4 linked regions of the Arabidopsis thaliana genome follow. The protein of the gene in region 1 interacts with the protein of each later gene in a pairwise test. Each region holds a gene or a part of one and is shown on either strand. Other genes may lie near its edges. The genes, in order: AT4G17810, AT3G45880, AT1G61660 and HB24.

Region 1 (3,338 bases):
CACATATTATTTGTGAAATGCATAAACTTACAAGAACTTATTCAATCAAGTTTTTGAATTGATCTCTTAGCTAAAGTCGGGGATAAGACCAGGATTAATTCAAGTTTCTCCCCTACATCGTGATAAAAAAGGCATTAAATATCAGATATATTAGAGAACTTTAGTTAGAAAAAGAAAAACCAGATTCTCTGTCACGAATGATACTTCTGAGTCGCCTGAGCATTAGAAAACTAATTATGACAAGATATCCATAAATCGTTCAAAAAAGATATATAGTTAAATATTTAATCAGAAACTAAATCAAAATAATGCATGTACAAACTACTTAACATGACATGGAGTAATAGAAGTATAAAACGAATGGAATAAATTAAAACTCAGTTCAACGCATATCTCTTCATCATTCCAATACTCCAAAACCCTAAAGCATATGGAAATAGTAAGAACAAATTTGCCTTCTACGAAATATGTAAAAAAATATTGGCTTCTTATCTTCTGTTGAGGAATGGTTTTTTTTTTTTTTTTTAAATGTGTAGACGCTTTTAATAATTTGAAAGTTTTGAGCATTTGAAACAAACTACTGATAATGTTCGTTAATTGTAAATTTTCTCCATCAAACGGAAATTTGAATTCAAAGAGCCTTGTTACTTTTCAAGAAAATCATTACTAAACCAAGTAATGATAAAGACAGAATATATAAAAAGCAATAGTAATCAATACATATATGGGTTCTATGGGATTTCTGAGATGAAATTTAATATAAGTATATACAAATCATATAATGCAGGGTTCATTGTATATATTTCGATCTAACCAATCAAATTAAGTAAACATATACTTGTAAACTTACGCTCTGAAATCAAGGAACCAAAGCATGAAATCGAATGAATTTAATTGTGATACACAATTCAAGCCAAATTGAATTCAGAATTTAACAACAACATGTAAATTAAGATTTAAAGAACCTGTGTATGAATAGATATTAATGTGAAAGCCTCGAGTGGGTCATGAAAATGAAATGTCACGGTGGATGGTGCCCTAGCCGAAGTTCAAGATCAAGCTCATCCACTGATGTTCCTGTCGCTTCTTTCATCGAGCCAATGCTCTCATCATCTCCTGTCGAATATTCAATAAGCCGAGGAGGAACTTCTACTGGAGAATTCAACATTGAAAACGGAAGGTTGCTCGGAGGAAACGAAGTCGTACCATAAAGATTCACCATGTCACCAGAATTACCAAAAATGCCACTAGGGTTTTGCAGTTGGTAGAAATGGGACAAACCTTCAATGTTACTCGCCGTGGATTGTATTATAAGTGTCGTTGTAGGCAACGGCGGAGCACAAGAATTGAGTAACATCCCCCCGTGGCCGCTTCTAGCCGCAGCCGCAACGGTGGAACCTTGATGAGCCCTAGATGAGGCGCGGTCACGGCGGTGGACATTCATGTGACCGCCTAAGGCTTGAGCAGAACGGAACTCACGGCGGCAGAAATTGCAAGTGTAAGATCTTGGAGGCCAAGTGGTACCAGAGATGTTGCCTTTAGTGTCTTGCTCAAAGGCTTTGACTTCCCAAGATTCATCATCATCCTCCAATTCTTCAATTTTGTTAGGGTTCCACATCCATGCACCACCGTTCATTCAAGGATGAGTTTTTTTTGAAAAAAAAAGAGAAATCTCAGTAGAAGATGAAGAATAAGAAGAAGATGGGGTTGGTGGATAATGATGTAAATTCAATAATAAATATAAAGATGGACCCGAAATATATACATAGATAGGTCACTTATCTTCAAAATATCATTTTCAGTAAATGAAAGAAATTTTACCATAATAAATTTTACTGAGTGTAAGAGCACACACATTTTGATTATCACATGTATAATTCAAAATTTGCAAATATAATATACTTTCTTTCTATTAAATCCAGTGCAAACATATTTTAGTAACTTATATATGTTAGAAAAGTAAAAATGAAATCTCATTTTCTATTAATTACTTACATATATTTAGCTACTTTCAGAAATTTACATAAACTTTACGTCTTTATAGAACTCTACACTTTTAGGTGTGTTCTTCTATCTTCGTTGGTACTTTGTTACAAAAAGACATTAAATCATAGATTGCTATGCATTTAATTAATATAGGAAGCCCAATTATAAATAAAAAAATAGTGTGCATTTTATATAAATAGGTGAAGATTTACAGAGGAAAAAGTTGGTTGTGACTTTGATGTCCTATGTAAGGTTAAGACAAAGTTTGTTTGCTTTAAATGGTGAAGCAAAGATCTTAGCTTTGCGTGATCATTACTAAGATTCTCTTGTTAGAATCTGACAAATGACTAGAGTAGCTTTACACTGTGACATTATGACCATATATTTTAGATAATCATCCTACATATGGCTACAATTCGAGATATACATACATTACAAAACTATATATATGTATATAGACACACATGTATGGTGTATGAACTCATATTATATATATTATTTTCTATGTAGAAAAAGATATTATTTTTTTTTCTTATGCCAAATGAAAATTTTATTACAATTTGAAATCTAGGAATATTAAACAATACAAATTTTGGGAAAAAAATGAAAAACAGAAGAGCTGAAAGTGATGGGCCTTGATATCCGAAAGATATTTGCCATGTAAAGTTACATTAACAGTGGTTTCGTTGGGAACTTAGTTAGATTTCAACTAGATCGCTCTTTCGTTGGACCATGTGGATTGCATTTGTTTTGTCATGTTTTTCAAATAAATAAAAACATAAAAAGGGACTTAATTTTCCTTGGAAAATAGTCAAATTACAGTACAATGATAAATCTCAGCCCAAATAAAGGTCATTATGGATCCTTGCGTTTGCTTTCAATGGGCCGTTGGACAAGTACGTAATTTAGGCCTTTTAACGCTCTTTTTATTTTATTTTTGTTTAAAATGCGAAAAAAACTTCATCATGATCAGTGATAAAATATGTTTGTTTATAGGAACACTATATGATTTTAATCCAAAATTAATTGACAATGAGTGTACAAATTTAAGTGCTAATTAAAATTGGGTTAAAAGTTTCAATAATTCCAGTCATTTTAATATCATAAGTTAATTATAAGCATATATAATTTTTCGAGTTTATCCATCACAAACATTAGACGAACGATGTTGAAAAAAGCTTAACCCGATAATATGCATCTCCGAGTTAAACATATATACCAATGTTGGTACTTGTATATCTCATTGGGTCAAAACGTTTGTATGTATATAACTATATTATTGTATTGAAGTTGAGAATAAAGGAAAGATAGATTAAGGGAGAAGCAAACAATGACGTTTTGCCAGCGAAGCT
Region 2 (5,232 bases), on another chromosome or scaffold:
GCTTTGACCCTAGTTGAAGCCGTTCCTCTATGTCTGCGGCTGCTGCTTTTGCTTCTGATGATAAGACAAAATCTTGCAGCTGAATAGAGCAGATACTAAGAATCAATCAATCAGGTCATCAAGTATTGTTTTGTTCATCCGAGAAAGTTTTTAGATTTTAAACTAGTTGATAAGAGATCTCAGAGTGTATAATAAGGTGAATGAACACTTTTACCTTTTCTGGAGATTTCATGTTTGAAAACCGAACTGTTGGGAAGAGCGGTTCTTCATCGTTGACCTCCTTGATTAGAGGAGCTTGGCCGCTGATTAGATATTCACTAAAAACCAAACCTGCAAAATAAACAGAGATGTTATTTTCGTCTTGTAAGACGATTTGAATGAATTGGACGTCTGCAGGAGTGGGATTTACTTGCACGGTATGGGTTTAGAGTCCGGAGCTGGATACACTGGTAAGATTTGAGATTGGTATACATATGGATTGTAGTCACAACTCCAAATGCAGCAAGGGCAAGACTTGTAGAGGTTCCTATGCAATTGGCAACCACTATTCCTAGCAGAATACCCACTGACTTGCTCACCATTCCTTGAGCTTCACCCTTGGCAATTACCTACAAAAGAAGTTGTTGATGCATACACTAGAGACCCAGAATAGTTGAGAAAAACAAATAGCTGTTGATAAGTGATCAAGACTAAGGCCATATAAAAATTATTGTAGACCTCAGCAAAGTTCCTTTGAGAAGCAAAGCCAGCATTGAAGCAACTTCTAGTAGCAGCCTGCAGACAAGTAAATGATAAGTTCAATAGAAAATACTAAACTATAACAAATGCTGCACTTAGAGCTATGCAAATAGAGCTTTCAGAGACAAGAACAGAACCTGAATCAATGCAGCAGCAGATCGACCAGCACCAGCAGCAGCACCGATCATAACGAAAAACTGAGGGAAGACTGGCGTAAGCATCTCCATACCAAAAGCAGCGTTTTCAAGAAGATCAGCAAATAGCCTCCATCCTTTGGGATGAACATCGAAATGTCGTCCGTATTTCGACAACATTATCTTACTAAGATACCCAATTCCATCTTTAAGCACCCAATTGATAGCTGCAGCTGTAGGAATTGCTCCTTTACCTAACCCAACTGCATAAAGCAAAGACTACCAACACAATATAATGAACACCAAGTGTTTGTGAAAATGCCTAAGAGAGATGATAAGCTCAGTCGTCTACCTGAGTGGCAAGAACGCCGCTGATTTGACTAGCAATACCTTGAACACCTCTCCAGAGAGAGTAATCGAGGTAATCAGAAGTTACACTATTGGGAAAACCTTCAGGAAGAAGGAATTGAGTGAGAAGGTTTCTACATTGAGCTAGGAGATTCTCAGGAGTTAGAGAAGATGATAATTCAAAAGCAGATTCTTCAGAGACGAACTCATCTTTGACAAAATCGGGAACTAGTCTCTTCCTTTTACTTCCTCTCACTTCCCAAACCGTCTCTTTCACAGCATCTCCATTACTATCCGAATTTTGATCTTTAGCTATGGCGGACGCAGCTGATAATCGGAAATGGAAGAAGCAAGACAAGCCCAATAAAAGAAAGCAGAGGTATCTCAAATCGAAAGAAGAATCATCAGAGTTATCGCCGCCGCCGTCTCCTCCGCCACCGCCGCCATTTCCGTTATCATTATTACCGTTACTTCCACCCAAGTCTGCACTAAACACTGAAGCCAAGCAATTTCTCGTCGCGAGTGATTGTTTACTGAAATGATCATTTACATTAGCGACTAATCGGACGCATCGGGAAAACGAAGAACCCGATGGCTGCCGGAGTGATTGCCGTGGGAGAAATAAACGCTGCCGGGAAGAAACATCACTCCACCGCCGTGAAGCGACGACGGAAGCGTCACCAGAAAGTAGATAAGAACAACTCATCTTCTTCTTCCTCTTCGAAACAAGTTTATTTCAAAAATCCTATTTTTATAACAAAAACAGTTTTTTTTCTTTTTTTCTTTAAATATAAATTAGGGTTCTTGGTTATGTGTTAAAACCCCCAAATTTTTTGTCCCGCCAATTTTTTTTCGTCAATGGCTAAAGAGATAGAGAATTTATGGAGAGAAGTGAGAGAATTGAGCTTAGGAACTAAAATCGATCGTTTTGATTCTCAACCGTCTCCGGTGAAGTTTCTCCGAAACTACGTGTCTCAGAGCAAGCCTTGTGTAATCTCCAAAGCTATTACTCATTGGCCGGCGTTAAAACTCTGGTCAGATCCGGCTTACCTCACCGGAGCTTTGTCAGATGACGTTGTCTCGCTACATCTCACTCCTAACGGCTGCGCAGACGCCGTCACCGGAGATAGTGATCTTTGTTTCGCTTCGGCTCATGTTGAGAAAGTTCTGTTCCCGGAGGCTCTTAAGGTTGTTCAATCGTCGTGTAAAGGACTGAAGGTTGGGTATTTGCAACAGCAAAACGATTGTTTTAGAACGGAGTATTCGACGGTTGCGTTAGACTGCGACGGTGATATTGAGTGGGCTACGGAGGCATTTGGTTGTTCGCCGGAAGCTGTGAACCTTTGGATTGGTACTGATGACTCCGTGACTTCATTTCATAAAGATCACTATGAGAATCTTTACGCTGTTGTTTCAGGGGAGAAACATTTCCTTCTTCTTCCTCCGACTGATGTTCACCGTCTCTATATCGAACAGTATCCGGCAGCTAATTACTCTTACCACCGAGTCTGTGAGATTTTTAGATTAATAAGTTTCAATGAGTTTGGTTTCTTGTTAAGTGATGTTGAATGAGATAAAGTTTGAATCGTTATAGGATACTGATGCGTTCAAGCTTGAGGTTGAGGAGCCGGTTAGGCATGTACCTTGGTCTAGTGTTGATCCATACCCTTCGCCAGAGAAGGAAGCAAGCGAGAGATTGAAATTTCCGTTGTTCTTTGATGGCCCGAAGCCGTTTCATTGTACTGTCAAGGCTGGCGAGGTTCTTTACCTGTAAGAATTTAAATCCCATAGCTCCACAGATTGAAAATTCTCAGAAACTTTTTGGCTTAATTTGGATCACTAATGTATCTACTTCAGTCTTACCTTTGCTTTATAAGAAACAAAGATTAGAAATGGGTGATAGACCTACTACACAATTGGATTTTCTAGTCATGATTCTGACTCAGAATGGTTCTGAATTTTGCAGGCCAAGCATGTGGTTTCACCATGTTAGTCAAACCCCAGGAGATGGAGGTTATACCATTGCAGTGAACTATTGTAAGAGTTTTAGTTTTGCTTCCATCATCTGTTTGTCTTCAGTGGCAAGCCAGTATTTTTCGGCTCTCCTTGCCTCTAATAAGCTATGTATGCATCTAATTTGCAGGGTATGACATGCAGTTTGACATCAAGTATGCTTATTTTAACTTCTTGCAATCTTTATTATACAAGTCATCTTCACTCAATCCAGTTCTTTCTTGGAGAGAAGACGAAGATTCAGAATCCAGTGATGCAGAGGTATGAAGAGATGAAACAACATTTTTGCTGAGTTCAGGTTTTCTCAGTCATGGTAGAAAGCTCGGAGAAGATCTTAAATTTACATTATGTAATATTTAGACTAAGAAGATCTTAATTTTATTACTTGTCATGTCCATTGGTGCTTTCTCCACTATAACTTAAGTTTTGTCTCCCAGAATTATAAAGAACCATAAAATGATAGAAAAGCTCTGAAATTCTCTGAATTGTATCTCTTTTGTTGATGACTTCATTTTTGTCTCAGATTGCTCCCTGATTTAATGGTGGAACTCTGAAGCCATCATCTATATAAAAGCTCTTGTGGCTGTGTTTGGTTCAATATGTTCTTTAATTAAAATCTCCAGAGTAATTCAGATAAAAACTCTGGAACTGGGTCCATGGTCAACTTCTTGTCATGAATCCCATACATAACCTGCCGTTATTAACGCCATCCAGAGGATCGAACTCCTTGTTGCTTGACTTCCGACATTCTTGGGTTACTGGATTGTCTTTCTCCGTCTGGAACCGAAGAGCTGTACTCTTCTCTGGCTCAGAAATCAACTGACTCGTGATCGCTGGTGGGGCTTATAGAGCTGCAAGTTCACATTTTGAAATCTGGGGTAAGACCAACCTTGCAGTTTCTCAACCGTCTTTTTGATGTGTGTATCATGTTGGCGCCTGGACCTCGCCCGCCACATATGGAATAAATGCCCTACAGAGATTTTCGTTGCTCTGCAATTGTTATCATCAGCTGTATAGCCTGTATTGCAATGGATGGTTACCAAAATGCCACTTCTCTCCTTGTTGCTATGTTGAACAACATAATGTGATGTGTTCTAAAAGCATGTGCCTTGATTTCAGATTTAACATCAGGGAAGCAAGTTCACTCCCTCTGCCACAAATTTGTATCTTTCTTCCACTTATGTTAGTGATGGGGCTAGATTTTGGAAGCGAGTGCATGTGAATTCCATAAAGCTCGGGTTTGAATCAAATGGTTTGATACAAAGTGGGCTGATTGATATGTACAGGAAGTATAGGTTGGTGATAAATGCAGAGAAGGTGTTCAGAGCTATGGAGGGTCAGACAGTTTTAACTGTTGGAGGCTATGGTTTCGAGTATTATGCAGAATGGTTTTCGCATTGAGGACATCAAACCTGATAATGAGACTCTGTTAAACATTGATGTTTATATGCATATATATACTGTTAGAAAATAAAATAGTCACTCTCTCGTCGGCAAAAGGTTAAGAAAACATCGGAGCACCCAAGTAATTCAAGAAGCCAGAGTTTTTGTTCAATCATCGGATTTTGGTGAAGAGATGGGAGATTTTGTGAATAGATGTCCTATTGGTTTGTTTTTATGGTCCTTGTAGATCAAGGGTTCAGCTTCCTTTGAGGTGATCGGGATCACAGCCATTGCTGCTGCCGCTTTCTTTTCTTTGTAAGATGCCCAGGTGACACTATAAAGACCTGCTATGATTGCACATCCGCCTAAAATGCTAAGAGAGGAGGAGAAAAAAGCCTAGTTAGTTAGGAAACTTCAGACACATCCCGTTGATGGCTGAGAATAGCTAAGAGAAAAGGAGAGAGATATTAAACCTCCCCAAGTAGATAGGGCTTCCAAGGAAGATTCTGGACAAGAAAGCTGAGGCTGCGGGTTGAAGAGGATTATAGAGAGCAACCAAGGAAGGACCCAAGATCTTATTTGACCATGTCAAGAGACCATAGTTGAGAGCAGACGC
Region 3 (5,101 bases), on another chromosome or scaffold:
ATCTTGAATCCTGACTCCATGCTATGTTCTTTTAATTTGTTTGTACTTTGGAGAAAACCAACATTAATTTCCAATAGGGCATAATTTGAGATTTTGTTTTTTAATAATAAATACGTACTAATCATGCATGGGACTTGTTGAGTATTTTATCGATATTGAGATCTAAGGTAAGAATTCTGTTCTTGCATTGCATATATTTTTGAGTGGCATTTGATAGATTAGACACACATATATGTCTTTATAGTAACATATGAATAATCTTTTTTCTGTAAACATAAATGATGTTGAATGCAAATCAGTATATATTTATCGGTATCTATACTAAAATCATATATGTATATTCAAATCATAAAGTAGGAAGCAGTGTGGGCCGCTATTCTACTGGCTTCCACTACTGAATTTCCATAATATATAGTTCTTAATCGAACCAACAAAAAGTTGAATCCATATGGACACATATTTATACATGGATATGTACGAACATAAATACATGCATGTATCCAGAAAATGTGCAAGTTTGCAAGTTTGGACATAAATGTAACTATGTAAGAGTAACGGCACTATCACAAACAATTAGGTTATAAGTGTTGGTTTTGTGATTGTTAAAATTAAAATTTATGATTAAACATGAAAAAAACAACTCTATAAAAACAACAAAGAACTTCATATGACAAACCACCAATTATTATGTTCTCTAACTTTAATAAGTGATTAACAAAGATGTTACCAACGACAAAAATATGTATATATATATATTCAAGAACAATGACAGGAACAAAAGGTTATTCAACATAAAAACAACCCATATATGCTAAATTCAGCAATAAACCCCCCTTAAAATATTGAAAGAAGAAGAAAATACATTAAAAATTATTGTTATGCTTTAGAGTCTCCAAGCTGAATTTAGCATATGTTCCCATCCGTCTTGACAACCACAACCCTCTCTCTTTAATCACCTATATATAATTAAAAAGTGAAATTTAGGTTAATTATTACATATATAACATGAGAGTATGTAAGTTAATGTTTTTAAAAATATATCTATCTATTAGTTTATGATAGATTATTATCCCAAATTTTCTAAGCCCTAAATCATTCTTGCTTTCGTAGTTGGTCCCCTCCAACACTATTGTTGCCTCTGCCCACCTTTGAAGAGTCACCTTCTTCTTCTCCCATCTCTACTTTTTCTCCAAGTAATGATTCAATCTTTGATCATGACTTGTGAATTTTATTTTCTTTTATTTTTATGCTAAGCATTATTAAATAATATCTTAATGCTAATTAAGAACCGTATGATATACGTAATTCACCTTCTCTACCTGAAATTGTTGCCCCCAAACGTTGGTGTCCAAAAATCGGCTGTTGTTTCGTTAGCCACCGGAAACGTGCTTGATATTGGGACGAGACATAGACCATGTCCTCTTAGTTCGTGATTCTCATTTTCATCTTGACTCTTCGATTTACCAGATATCTACATGAATCCATACTGAAATTAGTACTTATTTAACCATGATTATAGCACGAAGACTCCAACTTGGACAAAACTAAAACACTAGATCGTGTATTGAACCTGCTGTTGTTGTTGGTTCGAGGCACCTTGTTTCATGTATGGAGTGCTTAGAACCTGTATTTAAAAAACATTAATATGCTTAAAAATTTGCTCATTTCTAGGGTTTTATGAATTCAGTGAGTTAGGAGAGAAATCACAAGAAACGTACAGTGACTTGGTCGTGAAGGAACTTGATGTACTCTATAGCTTCTTGGAGAACAGATGCAGTATCTGTCTGAAGTTTAACCCAAAGATATACAAAATAAACAAACTAAGAAGCTCAATACATAACCAAGGGAAAATAAATGCTTTTGGTTGTATATATTAAGCCATATAAAATAAAGTAAACACATAAATCATTCACCTTTCCGAAAGGTGAAACTAGTTGTTGTAATGAAGTTATCTGGTCCCTTAGATTCTCTTTTCTCACCTGTTACATATACAATCCATTTTATCCACCAAGAAATTGAATTAAAATAAAAGGTCTTAAACAAATCTTGAAATATGATCATGTACCTTGAAAGTTGGCAACGGTGAAGGCGTGGTGACTCTCGGTTTCTTCGCCGCAGATTCATTATCCTTTGCTCTCTTCAAAGACTCACTCTGAGCTCTTGTCTTCAGATTCTTCTCAACAAAAATAAATAAATAAATAAATTCAATAATATAGCCACAAAACTTATATAGTAGCAAAATTATTTTGACATATATGAGATAATTTACCTTGGTTTTGTCCTCCAAACGAGTAGATATTATCTGCGGAGTGGTTACAAAATTGCTCGGCGTCGTGTTGTTTAAGTTAGTGGTTGATGAAGAATTCCAAAAGGGTCGAGAGTTTGCGTTGTTAGAGAAGCTGTTAATTAGTCCATAAGCTACTTGATGATGAGGATTTGTCTTATTAGCCCAAGAAAGTTGAGGATCGTTGATTGAACCACTTGTGGTGGAGACAAAGTTGTATGGACTTGGTTCGGGATCGTAAAAGGTTCGTATCAAGCTTGAGGACGAAGAAGTTGATGGAGATGAAGAACAAGCTGGATTAAGTATATAAGGTGAAGTAGTTGTGGATAAGAATCCTTGGCCATGATCTTGATCTTGTGAGCTCCTTATGAAGCTTGAGTTTAAGTCTTCTTGTCTGAAAAATACAAAACAAGAACAAAAGAGATCTCATGATTATTATTAAAAATCTTCAATCTTGTTCATCAAGAAAGTGAACAAAAAAAATTAAGTTAGGGTTTTTCTTTAAGAAGTTTACAAAATGGTTTGGTTCCAATCTGAAGAACAATTTGAGGAAAACCCTAGACCCATCATCTGCAACGTCGAGTCCATCGTCACGGTACTTCCTCCACTGTCAGAATCCGCCTCTCGCTGCCCGAAAACGATGTTGTTGTTGTCCGTACAAGTCATCCTAGATTTGAGATGATTCTCTTGCGAGCTAAAATCATTGGAAGTGATAGCCGCTCCGAAGCATGGTGACAAGAAATGATCCGAAGGAGACATAACGCTCCTTGGCGAGTTCCACCACGCGCCACCTCCGCCACCACAAATCGATGCCGTAGCTTTAAACTCCTCCGCCATATTAAGAGAATCAGAAAGTTTTAGTATAAGCTTTCTACTAGATCGTTGCTATACGAAGGTTAAAGTTTTTATATATATGAGTTTGTTGTATGTGATATGAAGAGCATAAGTGTAAAATTTTGATATATGTTTATGAGGGTGTGTATGTTTATATAGGCAAGTACGGACAAGTGTGTGGAAATTACCGGAATTTAGTTGACATTTGAAGACAAAAACTTATATCATCATAACATTCCTATGTGATTTTTTTAATTAAATAATCTTGATTTTAAATTTTTTCCTTAAGCTAAATATTTTATTTGACAGAAAGATGTTGTAATAATAGTGTTCCTAATCCCTCAATTTTCTTCTATTATTATAAGAACAACTGTCTTTGTGAGATTTGTTTCTTTGCTGCTTAGCTTTTCGAAGAAGTGATAATGATCCTCATTTTATAAATATTTAAATATTTAATTTGAGATTAGATAGGTGTTTGGTACTATTATGCAAGATGCCAAAAGGGGATACTATTTATATATAGACATTATATCTAACGGTAACCTTTGATTGGTTGCCATCAAATTCTACAAATCGATCGTTTATATTAAGTGGTCAGAAATAGAAAACATATCACGATTTTGATTAAATCAGTTTTTAGTAATTGTATAGACAAAACACGAAAATGACTGATTATAGTCTACGCATGCGTATATATATAAATGTACATAAATATGAAAGACTAAAATTTTGAAACTTGATATTTTTTTATTACTTTCATGCTTCCATACATGATTTTTATCAGATCACTTTAGTAAGCTTAGGAAAAAAAAAAACTAATTAGTCTATGCAAGCGTATTAATAATTGTTTTATTATTTTGGTAATTATAAACGACTAACCAATTTTTGAACAACGTTTCTTCTAATTAATTATCCATACTTTCATACAGTAATGATTATCTTGAAGTTAAAATATATGTTTTCTCAATCGCATTTGCTAAAAAAAACTTTAAAACATATATCTTCAAGGATTAGACTCACTTATTTTCAAAAGTAATATTCAAAGATTCTTTCGAGATAAAAGTTGAGTCCTAGGCTAGCTCGTTCAGGTTTGAGTTTTCAGTACTTGGGAGGGATATTTATACTTTAACAGGTATTACTATTACTAAAAATTAGTTTTAGATCGAAAAAGCGATCATAGGAATTTTTATTTTTTTAATAGACGATCAATTGTTTTTAGCTCGATTGGAAAACGCAAAATTAATGGCAAAACCTAGAGTTAGCACTTGATATGAGTTCGATATTTATTTCATTGTCGATCGGATTCTTTCGGTTAAAAATAGTACTATAAAATAAGATTTGTTCTTGTGGCTTGAGGCTAAAGGGATAAATGGTATATGATGACGATCGTCGATCGATGCTGAGTTTCGATCTGTGTGTCACGTCACCGTTTCTGGACCTATTGTGTTTGTGACTTTTTTCACAATCTCTTTATACCAAACGGTCCTTATTCTTTTCAACTAGCTTTTTCTAAATTCCGTAAATATTTTATTCTTCTAATAAATTTGATAAGTCAATCAATTATTGCACTTTAATTACAAGTCATTGTTTTGTTTTTCTTCTTTCTCTTAATTCTTTTTCCATTTTATGTGATAGACTGATAGCCACACAAAATATCAAAAAATGGATTTGTTGAACCTGATAATAGTAACCAGTTCTGTTCTTTATGATCATTATACGGCTCGAGGCATAGTGAACCGGGCTGTGTCACCGTCCATAAAATATACAAGTTTTATCAAACGATAGGCATAGATAATAAACATAATTTCACCGATATCCATGTATATAATATTTATATATCTATCTCCTTTCAAAATAAAAAAAAAAATTGGACATATTCTAAGCTAAATTGTGCTAGTATCGTTATTACGAAATTCAAATTTACGTTATGTATCTTGACAAAAAAAAAATTGTTATGAATGCTTGAAGAATGGTATTTTTACG
Region 4 (3,137 bases), on another chromosome or scaffold:
GAAGGCTGGCATTGCCAAGGATATGGCCTATGATAAGGCGGGCAATGCCAAGGACATGGCCTATGATAAGGTGGGATCTGCTTATGGCAGTGCGCAGAAGGCAAAGGATTCTGGTTATGAGAAAGCTGGTGAGGCCAAAGACTACGCCTACAAGAAGGCTGGCAATGCAAAAGACATAGCTTACGAAAAGGCCCAAGATGCAAAAGACTTTGCATATGACAAGGCGGGTTACGGATACGACAAGGCCGGTGATGTGATTAGGATGGCAACGGATAAGAGCGGTGAAGCCTATGAAGGAGCCAAAGAAAAGTCAAAGAGTGCCAAAGACACGGCAGGAGAAGCAATGGATGATTCTATTGACTACATGAAAGACAAATCACACAATGCCAAAGATGGAGCAACTAGAGGATTTGAAGAAGCCATGGAAAAAGTCGGCGAAAAGTACGGTGTAGCCAAAGAATCCACAAAATATGCTTATGAAACCGCAAAGAAAAAGGCTTCTCAAGTTGCGGGAGAAATAAGAGACCGTTATGCTGAGCTCTAAAATCAATTTGTTATACAATAAACACAAAGTCTTTAAGTTAAAGCAATGTTGAACAAAGAGAAGTAAAAATAGTATATATATATATATAGAAATCTCTTACAAATCCTTCTTCTTTGCTGCTTGTTTATTGTTGTGCATCCAAACTTTAAACACTTGTCTTTTAACTTTAATCTCACGACAAAACCGATTCACTTCATCATCTTCTAGTTTTGTCATTCTCCAACCAATCTTCTCAGCAAACTCCATCATCTTCTCCTTCTGTTCTTCATTAAACTTTGTCCTAAACCGTTTCTTGGGTTGATAATGATGAAACTGATCCACTCCATAACCACTAAAAGATTGATGAAACTTGTTTAGATCCTCCGTCGATGACTCCGCCGCACAACCACCACCACCACCAAAACTCATCATTATCGGAGACACGTGGCGGCTTCCGAGTGGTCTCTGTGAATGGCCAAAGCTATTGAAATTGACAACAAACAAACCATCGATCTCTTTTCTATGGAAGCTCCGGTGGCAATCACAAGCTGCACAAAGAAGAGACTCCACCGTGCCTTCTTCCCCGGAAGACATAAACTCGCCGCAACCGTCGACAACGTGTCCACCGGAGCTCGCCGCGTGATTCTTTTGGCATTCTCTATACCTTGCCTTCCCCGGAGAAGTAGTTTGAGGCCTAGCGTATGATCTTGGAGCATGAGATATAGAAATTGGGTTAGTATCAAGATCCGGATCCGGATCCGGGTCCGACCCGTTTCTTTTGGTGGTGGGTTTCTCTTTGTTGGCGGTTTGGGAGTAAGTGTACGGAGGAAGACGATGATGATCTAGAGCTGATGATTTTCTTCTTGTCATCTCCATTTTCTCATCTTTCTTCTCTCTAACTTCCATCTTTTCTGATCTTGAAGCTTCTGAATAAAGAAAACCCTAATATATAACTTTTCTCTTAAACAAACATTAAAACTTTCTTAGTAATCTCTCTCCAAAACCCTAAGCTATTTTGATTAAAGAAATCATCATAGCTTTAGCTTCTCATAAACCTATAGAGAAAATGAAGATGATAAATATCTCTTCCAAAGTTGAAACCTTTTTAAAAATTTTGACTTTGACTTTTGTATTAGTGATAGCCCACCAAAACCTACTAGACTAATCTCAAGTCTACAAGCAACTAAATTAAAGGGGAAAACTTATCTAACCCCATTTAAGAAGAGATCAAGAAAAGAAAATAAAGTTTAGGTCGTTACTAATGGAGAAAGAGAAAAGAGGAGAGAAGAAGACACTATTGGTCCTTCTAGAGAGAGAATTAGAGAATCGTGTTTCCTATTGCCCATCAATTTCCGAGAGAGAAAAAAAATCTAATGAAGGAGCCAAGTGGGTTTGGTCTGTGCCAATAATAATAATAACACAGTCCACTAAGAAACAAGAGATGGAGAGAGAAAGTAAGATGTGGACTTGTAGCAGACAGTGCCACGTTGTTTCTCTATCATACAGTGTCCGCACATTGGTCGCAATACATCTTTCTTTTATTGGTTTTTAATGTTGAGTAATGATAAAATTATCTTGTGTTAATTAAGTCGAATGTCAACAATTAGTATAGTTGATGAGATTAGTGTCTGTGGCTTAGCGTAAAATTAGCGATGTAAGTAGGTTTAGTACGATCAGTGCAACATATTATGGTGCATGCATTAAATATTGTTTGTAAAATAAAATGAAAGATTGAATACCTTATGAACATTTACTTTGTAAAATAAATAAGATAACCAAAATATTGTTTGTAAAATAAGCGAAAATCGAATTGGTCGAAATATTTGTAATATATGGTATGGTCTCTTATCTACTTTGATCTGATTTTTAAAATTCAGACAACCAAAATAAGATGATTTGGGCAGAATTTTTTCTCAACTCTTTTATTTTGCGCTAATTAGAGTAACCAATCACATTCTTAATGTTTTTTTCCGTACACACCCTTAATGTTTAAAGTTATGAAAACATACAATAAATAAAAAAAATGGAGTAATCGACAGTGTTTTGACCGGATTTGTGTTTCATAATGCAATCCTTACACAATTCTCATTGGAGAGCTTTATTTCATTTTATTTTTTTGGGAAAAACTGGAGAGCTTTTACCGGACTTTTAATATATAAAAACTTATGAAAAAAATTCTTAATAGGCTTTTCTTCCACTTGTCAATTTATATTTAATATTAAATTTTTCATTTTAGTGTAAGTTACATTAAAATAACAATATTTATTGTTAAGATATTCAAAATAAGTATCTAATGGATGAGAATTATGGTTTAGAAGAATAAATATAAAATCAAAACAAAAAAAAAGAACAGAAAGTGGACGAATGATGTTCTACTTGACATATAAAACTAAAACTAAATCTTCAAACCAAGATATATATATATATATATATATATATATATATATATATATATATACTTTTAGTTACGGTTGATTTCTCCAAAATGGAGCCAAAAGATCAGTAGACCATGATAGAAGAACAAAAAAAGGATTTTAGTGCTGGATAATGATTATGATTCGTTGATGACATACAGGATTATTATCATTTGTTTAGTTAGTTGAACAATTATATT

The links.
Region 2: the proteins of AT4G17810 (region 1) and AT3G45880 interact in a two-hybrid assay, tested with the Arabidopsis thaliana proteins (one large-scale study listed by BioGRID).
Region 3: the proteins of AT4G17810 (region 1) and AT1G61660 interact in a two-hybrid assay, tested with the Arabidopsis thaliana proteins (one large-scale study listed by BioGRID).
Region 4: the proteins of AT4G17810 (region 1) and HB24 interact in a two-hybrid assay, tested with the Arabidopsis thaliana proteins (one large-scale study listed by BioGRID).

The regions. Positions count from the first base shown.
Region 1 is NC_003075.7:9,905,216-9,908,553, reverse strand, and holds AT4G17810 (C2H2 and C2HC zinc fingers superfamily protein), read right to left. Parts: upstream 1,734-3,338; 5' UTR 1,637-1,733; coding exon 1,022-1,636; 3' UTR 527-1,021; downstream 1-526.
Region 2 is NC_003074.8:16,868,391-16,873,622, reverse strand, and holds AT3G45880 (2-oxoglutarate (2OG) and Fe(II)-dependent oxygenase superfamily protein), read left to right. Parts: upstream 1-2,037; 5' UTR 2,038-2,078; coding exon 2,079-2,726; intron 2,727-2,814; coding exon 2,815-2,990; intron 2,991-3,186; coding exon 3,187-3,257; intron 3,258-3,363; coding exon 3,364-3,494; coding exon of another isoform or gene 3,495-3,500; exon of another isoform or gene 3,501-3,701; intron 3,702-3,756; coding exon 3,757-3,768; 3' UTR 3,769-4,709; downstream 4,710-5,232. Other genes in the region: RUS1 (root UVB sensitive-like protein (Protein of unknown function, DUF647)), read right to left, coding at 1-79, 215-330, 410-608, 718-774, 876-1,151, 1,225-1,926; UMAMIT3 (nodulin MtN21 /EamA-like transporter family protein), read right to left, coding at 4,785-4,989, 5,090-5,232. UniProt on the Arabidopsis thaliana protein: Histone demethylase that demethylates 'Lys-27' (H3K27me) of histone H3 with a specific activity for H3K27me3 and H3K27me2, and involved in the regulation of gene expression. No activity on H3K27me1.
Region 3 is NC_003070.9:22,753,051-22,758,151, forward strand, and holds AT1G61660 (basic helix-loop-helix (bHLH) DNA-binding superfamily protein), read right to left. Parts: upstream 3,322-5,101; 5' UTR 3,122-3,321; coding exon 2,799-3,121; intron 2,679-2,798; coding exon 2,270-2,678; intron 2,174-2,269; coding exon 2,066-2,173; intron 1,980-2,065; coding exon 1,914-1,979; coding exon of another isoform or gene 1,830-1,913; exon of another isoform or gene 1,785-1,829; coding exon 1,719-1,784; intron 1,625-1,718; coding exon 1,571-1,624; coding exon of another isoform or gene 1,553-1,570; exon of another isoform or gene 1,472-1,552; coding exon 1,320-1,471; coding exon of another isoform or gene 1,316-1,319; exon of another isoform or gene 957-1,315; coding exon 953-956; 3' UTR 561-952; downstream 1-560.
Region 4 is NC_003071.7:7,970,482-7,973,618, forward strand, and holds HB24 (homeobox protein 24), read right to left. Parts: upstream 1,601-3,137; 5' UTR 1,430-1,600; coding exon 641-1,429; 3' UTR 545-640; downstream 1-544. Other genes in the region: AT2G18340 (late embryogenesis abundant domain-containing protein / LEA domain-containing protein), read left to right, coding at 1-544. UniProt on the Arabidopsis thaliana protein: Putative transcription factor.